2 linked regions of the Coturnix japonica genome follow. The main gene of each other region encodes a partner of the protein of the gene in region 2 in a complex. Links are inferred from orthologs where the notes say so. Each region holds a gene or a part of one and is shown on either strand. Other genes may lie near its edges.

Evidence for each region.
Region 1: GTF2E2 (region 2) and POLR2H share a complex: the UniProt entries of both Homo sapiens proteins name them as parts of the TBP-based Pol II pre-initiation complex. The link is inferred for Coturnix japonica from reciprocal best matches to the Homo sapiens genes GTF2E2 and POLR2H.

What each region holds. Positions count from the first base shown.
Region 1 is NC_029524.1:13,962,953-13,966,367, forward strand, and holds POLR2H (DNA-directed RNA polymerases I, II, and III subunit RPABC3), read right to left. Parts: upstream 2,152-3,415; 5' UTR 2,088-2,151; coding exon 2,015-2,087; intron 1,906-2,014; coding exon 1,822-1,905; intron 1,745-1,821; coding exon 1,651-1,744; intron 1,526-1,650; coding exon 1,442-1,525; intron 1,326-1,441; coding exon 1,208-1,325; 3' UTR 807-1,207; downstream 1-806. Other genes in the region: THPO (thrombopoietin), read left to right, coding at 1-123. UniProt on the Homo sapiens protein: DNA-dependent RNA polymerase catalyzes the transcription of DNA into RNA using the four ribonucleoside triphosphates as substrates.
Region 2 is NC_029519.1:30,644,629-30,648,444, reverse strand, and holds part of GTF2E2 (transcription initiation factor IIE subunit beta), read right to left. Parts: intron 3,650-3,816; coding exon 3,558-3,649; intron 3,016-3,557; coding exon 2,908-3,015; intron 1,713-2,907; coding exon 1,530-1,712; intron 1,086-1,529; coding exon 992-1,085; intron 1-991. UniProt on the Homo sapiens protein: Recruits TFIIH to the initiation complex and stimulates the RNA polymerase II C-terminal domain kinase and DNA-dependent ATPase activities of TFIIH. Both TFIIH and TFIIE are required for promoter clearance by RNA polymerase.

The sequences.
Region 1 (3,415 bases), on a different chromosome or scaffold from region 2:
GGCTGCTCCCCTCGCTCCATTGAGCAGACTGAAGTCACTGAGATCTTCCTCACCTACCGACAGCTGGTGCAGGGCAAGCTGCGCTTCTTCTTCCACAACCTGGCTAAGGACTCGTGTGACTGAGATCGGGGGGAAGCAGGGACCTCCAGTCCAGGGACTGATGAAGCTGTACACGGGATTTAACACTGATAAAAGGTCAGAGCAATCCCACAGGAGAAGGAGCCGTGCTCTGGATGCCCAGGAAGGTGCCACGGGGAAAGGGTTGGCTCCTTTTCCACAAGCCTTTGGCTATCACACGGCCCACAGAGGTCAAAAGCAGCCATACCTGTGCAGCACGAGGCACATGCCCTGCTCCTATCAGACTGTGAATGCTTTACAATTAAAGACCTATTTTTCTAAAGGATTGTTTGTGTCTTCCTGTTCCCCCTGCTGTAGCACTGGCCTAAGGAGCATACACCAGTCTCTGGGGGAGGCAATAGCTGGGGAACAAACGCTCCTGATTTTCCCAGTGTCCAGCTCCCTCCTGTGGTGGCTGCCATCTCTGCAGGGCAGGTGGGCTCAGCTGGGGATGTGAGATAATAATGCCCCTTGCCTTCCAGTATCCACCTGCCAATTTCACTGTGCTGAGCTCTGGGGTCACACAGCATCACTCAGACTAGGCCAAGCCCCTCCAGGAGCTGCAGCTTGAAAGCCAGTGCCCCTGATGTGGTACCTTTGCTGTCTGCTACCACAACATCCTCCATGAGCATCCCATCTTCATCTACCAACCGGCATTCTGGGAAGCCAACCTTGCCACAACAACCACATCTAGAAAACACATAGCAGTTTAATTAAGAAGCCACATCTGTCTCAGAACAGCTCCTTAGAAAATGATGCCCAGCCCTAGCACAGACAGGTGAGTGCCCCAGTCCAGCGGCCCCTGGTTAGAGCTGGGGCTAAGCCTGCTTTTGAAGTGCAGGAAGGTGAGATCAGCAGGCAGGGCCACAGAGCACCCACGGTCTCCACTGAGAATGAGGCATCAGCCCCTGCACAGAAGGGAAACAGTCAGAAAAGACTGGGATGACAAAGGGGGAAAGTCCCCTCCTCCACCACCACTGGAGGGACTGGGCAGCAAAGGTGCTGGGGCAGGATTTGGGGTGATGGTGTCCTTTCTGCTCTCCAACAGAATGTCTCTGGGGGCAGGCAGCCCTCTGAGGTGCATCATCTCCTAGAAGGCCAACTTCTTCATCAGCAGGTAAACTCTGGAGTCCACTTCAAACCCATGCAGATTGTTTGCGTCTCCCTGAAGGCGCATGAGCAGCCCCCCATAGGACACATAAGCAGAGCTGGGGCAGGAGGAGAGGAGCAGTGAGAGCAGGGAAACCCATAGGAGACCCAGTCAAGATAACGCTGCCTCCCCACCACCCTCAGGCAACGCGTCCCCTTCTCAACAGCCACTCACAGGCGTGTGGCTGCCTCTGTGGACGTCTCATCCCCCTCAATCCTGTACACCTTGCCATACATCACGTACTCAAACTGGTCCGCCCTGCAATGACATGAGGGGAGCTGAGAGAAGCGTCAGACCATCCTTCCCACATCCCCTAACAGAGCATCCTCTGCGAGGAGGCCCCTTGTAGGAGGGGTCTCTCCCACCACTGCGAGCCACGTTACCTGGAGGGCCGGTCATCAGTGGGGTTGTACTCCCCATCATCCAACGTCCCATCCTCATACAGGGTGCTGGCAATGACCAGACGGAACTTGTCCCCTGGGAGGCGATAACAAAGCAGCGCTCAGAGCGCACAGCCGGAGCTGCCCCCCCCCCCCTCCCCGCCCGTCCCGTACCGAGATCCACGGGGTAGATCTGGATGTTGACGTCCAGGATCAGATCCATCTTGAACGACTCGCTCTCGCAGTGCAGCCGGGACACTGAGCGGGCCGGGACGGGGCGTCAACGGGAAGGGCCCGCCGCACCCGGCCCGGCCCTCGGAGCCCCGGGTGGGAGGAAGGGGCGGGGAGCGGGGGGGTCGTATCTCACCACGGTCGAACTTCTTCCCCTCGGGGTCGATGTCCTTCACATCGAAGATGTCCTCGAACAGAATGCCGGCCATGGCGGCGCCCCTTCGCTCCCGCGCCGGCTCCCGCTGCGGCGCACGGTGATGACGTGTTTCCACATCCGGAAACCTCATTCGTGGTGGGCGGGCAGAGGTGCCCGCGCGGTCCTAGCGCCGCCGGCAGCGCCCCCTGCAGGCTGGGGGGGCGCACTGCAGCGCAGGGGGCGGTAGGGGGCGCTGCGCGGCCGCGGATCGAACCGCGTGGGTCGGGGCAGATCCACGGCGGGACGGAGCTCGGAGCTGGGCGGGGGGCAGCAGCGTCACCCCACAGCCCACCCGTGTCACACCCCACAGCGTCACCTTCCCTCCGTGTCACATCCCCGGTGACACCCAGCTCCTACCGCCAGCCCCCTCCCCAAAGGGCTCAATGCGGCCGGGCTGTGTGAGCGGAGGGATGCGCTGGTACAGAGGGACACGGAGGGACACGGAGGGACACGGAGGGACCCGGGTTGGCGGCCCCGCACCTCCGGGGTCGAGGAGCCGAGGTTGGGGTGGGCAGCCCCCACACTATAGCACCTGCCCGGTGCCGCCGTCTCCTCCTTATCTGGAGCCAAACAAGCCCATCCGGCACCTGGTGCCGCTCAGAGCACACAGCACCAGCCCTCAGCCCGCCCCCAACCTGCACGGATCCCACAGACCGTCCCCAGGTGCTCTGCAGCCCCCGGTGCGCCGGGATATATGAAGGGATTTTGGGGGGGGGGGGGGCACAGCTCTGCCTTGGTGCACCCCAAAGCATCCCAGCATACAGTAGGACACACCGGGGGTCCCTCCATGTGGGCTCTCCCCAGGCTGGGAGTCCCATTGCTCACAGTGCCGGGCTGTGTGTGGGTGGGGAGGTTTAGCCGTGGGGCTGTTATCTTTCACTGATAAATTATACAACATGAGCACGGCTTTGAACGGCGGCCAGGCCTCCATCCGGTGGGGCAGCATTGGGGGGCCAACACAGCCTCCAGTGCTCTCTGATGGGGGGGATGGTGATGGAGATGGGGCCGTGGCTTTGGAGTGAAGGGCTGATGGGGATGGGGTCTGCACACAGAGGCAGAGCAGGTGGCAGAGCCACGGCGGCACCTGGGTGGTTGGGCAGCCCCAAATCCTGCACCCTAAATCCCTGCCCTCTCCCCAAAGCCTGCCCGGCTCGGGGGTGGGAGCGGTGCTTCAGAGGCGGCCGCGGCCCCTCTTATCTGCGGGCACAAAGGAGCCGCGGCACCGCCGTTATGGAGCAAACAGACCTGGGGAGAAGCTGGCTGGCATCGGGCAATGGGGTGGCACCATCCCCATGTTGCGGTGCTATGGGGTGGCACCATCCCCATGTTGCGGTGCTATGG
Region 2 (3,816 bases):
TAAATGCTGTAGGTGACATCTCCTAAATTATCTTTGCAGAAATAAGCTATTAAGTAAATGAGAATCCAAGGCTGGTATGGAACAAAGAAGCTGCTTGATTCTGTTTAAAATAAAGAGTTCCTCTGAGTTATTCTAAGACAAAAGAGCTTTACGTTTTGTTCTATGGCCTTGCACATACAGCTGTTTAAGGTCTGATGACAACTTTTTCCTTCTTTTACTATCATGTGACGCTTTGGAATATGGCTTCATGTGGCATGTTACGGAACAACAAGTGATCAACATGAAGTATTCAGCGTCCCTGAGCCATTTAAAATAAGGTCTGTTACCAGGGAATGCATTCTCCCTTCTGTACTTACAGATATCTGATATTGGCTCTGATGTCATCATTGCAACACACCCTGACAGGCGTAACTAATTTCTGTAAATACATATATTATTGTATAACCTGTCCTCTTGCTGCTTTCAGCCAACAGGCACACTCACGTCAGAGGACTTTACCACTATTTGTAAGATAAAAAATACAGGCTGAAGCTCTGGAGTTCCACTCCCAGCTCTAGACAGCAGCACCAGCCCACACTCAGGGTGCCCTCCCAGTCGTAAACCAACTCTTCCCAGTACTTTTGCTCACATCTCCTCCCAGTCTGCTTGTTCCTTTTCTTCAATTCCTGGTTCCTCATTGCATTCACCAACAAAAGTACATGACTAATAAATTGGGACAAAAAGCAGCACACAAACCCAAAAGAAATTCCACTGTTCTTCATCTGCTTTTCTGCAGCAAAATATTCGATGTCATCTAAGCCACAGATGGACAACTCTTAGTCTTTTCTGTTCAGCTACACTTGAATTGTAGGGTTCCTGGTGCCATGTACCAATGCATTCAGTAGAAAACAGAGGTTATTATCCCTGAACTCGTTTGCTAGTCCTGTTATCTTCACATTCAGCTGTCTAAGCTGAATTTAAACCATGGATGCAGATGTAAATAAACACTTACCATCGTCCACAGAGAAATGACAGCTCTTGTCATTGTAGTAAAGAAGTTGCCTCTTATCAGGGCGGGTAACAAAGAGAATTTGGTCCCCTAAAGCCTTTAAAACAAATGCAAAAAAAAAGGACCCCAAATCAGTTCTATTTTAAGAATAACAGACCCAGATCCTGTTCTACAAAGAGATCAATGAATCAGAGAGCAGCAAAATAACAAGCAACAAAATGCAACCAAAGTGGACACCATCAATAAATGCATTAATAAAGCAAAGACAAGATATAGAGGGCTGAGATCAAGATATGAAAGCACAATTAAGTGCCTTCAGTTGCAACATAGTAGATAAAGCACCTTTTGTAAGAAAGCTTTGACAGCTGTGCTGTCAGGTCAATTCTAAACATAAAGGCCGACGTACAGAAAAAGGTACTAAATCAGATCTTCTGAGTCACCACAAGAACAAAAAGAACTCAGAAAATTCTCTCTTAGCTTTTACCTCTCCTTTGAGAACCTATCCAAGAGTTTTGCTGAAGCCCAGACAAGAGTGACTCACCTTTATAGCTTTATGTGCATTGGGCAGCCCTTCCTCTATTTCTTCTAAAAAGATTCCTCCCAGCCCTTGCTGGTCATGCTTGTCCAGGAGCCTGAGCAGAGCCTTTTTATCTTTCAGGTTGTACTTGGGTTTGAAAGCAAACTTCCCATCTATAACTTCTATTTTTGGATTATTGACTAGAGCCTGTAATAGAAATATACATTTTAAACCTTGAAAGAGAGAACAAACTAGTACTTCAATAGCTACAGTATGTCAGCCATGTGTTATAGCTGACAGTTCGGAGGTTTGAATTTGAAACAAATTTTAAATCCTTGGATCTGAGATCCAGCCTGGGCATAACTCACTGCAACATACAGCACAACATTCTCATGGTGCTGCTTCAGAGTGAAGATGTCTCATGGACAATTGAAACGACTTAAGATCTGATCCAAATCAGTTTTTCTGTGCACGCGGTACCATCACGGATTACTGACGCAGTGATAATCTTATATAAGCTTTTTGGTTCAGTCTCAATATTCTAATTTGTTATGGAAACAACCTAGAGCTACTCTTCAAAGCTTTCAGTGGAGCCAAGTTTTCATGATAGCAGCATTGCCAGTTTTCTGTTCTCCAGAATATTAGTATTAATTAAAAACATAACTTAAAACATCCTAGTTTTACTACAGAGATTTCTCCACCCCCCTGCATGTATCAACAACCTTTACTACTTTGTTGCAAGGATTCTAAGTATAATATCAGCAAAACCAGATATTGCTGAAGTATAAATACTAAATACAGGGTTTTGTTGATTTACTAGTCTTGAAATGCCATGATGGCATTTGGATCAATTAAGCACGAAGATGAACACAGCAGGAAGTTGCAGTGACTCTGCAAGAATGAAACCTAACATAAATCATGAAACTGATGAACTCCAGCAGGGGAACTTTGAGATCTATTACCCCACAATTCCAGACACAGATTTCACAACAGAATTCTTCAATTCAGTAAACAACAAAGATCTGAGAGTATGAGTTTTAAGGCTTTCACTTAAGTAATTTGAAATCTTTGATAGTGATAGGGCTTTCTGCTTGAACTCTGTTTAGAAGAAATTTCTTTTAAAAAAAACAACAGTTTGCATGTATAAGATTAGCAATAAGAAGTTCACCTCAATTACAACTTACTCTTTGCTCTACTAACAGCAATTCTAATTGACCCTTTAAAAACGTCAGAATAGCTTTCATTTCAGTTATTTCAATAGCAGGAGGCACAAGACAAATCATGAATCAATGCAACTTCTCAAAAGCAGAACTTCAATATTTATAGAGTCTGTAATTAAATAAACATATACAGTTCAAGTTTATCACTATCCTCCAGTGTCCAATCAAAAGCTTTTCTTTACCTCATTCATTAACCACTGCTTCTGTTTGAGTCCAATATCTAAATGCTGTGTTTCATCCAAAATCTCTTCTAGAGTTAATGGATGCGTATCACCACGCTGGTGCCGAGTCTGGAAAACAAAGAGGATCTATCAGTGATCTGTAGTTCTTTATTCAGCAGCTCAATTACCACAGGGTAACAAAAAACTGGCAGAAGGTGATGACACAGTAATTTCTGTGAAACCAAGAGACACAGCACACGGAGCATATGAGTACCAACTTCGGGCCTCTAAAGATGTGAGAAAAATCAGTTTGTATCAGCTGAGATAAATGACAAAATTATCTGTCAAGCACCAAGTTACAAGTTATTTTGATAAACAGCTCATGAATCCTAAAAGCTGATAGCATCTTCAAATTCCAAGTTCTAATGCAAACAAAACCAGTCTCCTTTTTTTAAGCAGACCTGGAATAACTGGGATTCCAGTGATGAAGCAACATAATGGGCCTTTTGTTTACTCACAGCATTTTACATTTTAACAGCCCAGTTTCTTGAAATTCTTGGTCTTGTGCAGTAAATAAATCTCAAAGTCTGAAACATTCAGCATCATCTTACTATCACAGAGAAAAAATAAAGCATTTCCAAGCATTATACTTTTACATGAAACCACCATACCTTCATGTAATTCACTATTTTTGCAAGGACTCCAAACTTGTAGCCAGAGCTTCCTGAAAGGGCTTTCAAATTAAACGAGCCATTGCTGTGATCTACAAAAGGAGAAAATAAACACATAAACAACGCTTTCAACAACTACTTCTACAGCCAACAACAGAAACATTTCAGGAGCAGTCATTCTAGAGGGGTCTGCGATATAAGGATGGGGATACAGACATGCAGCTACCTGCTGGCTCCAGAATGCTTCTGAGCACGACTC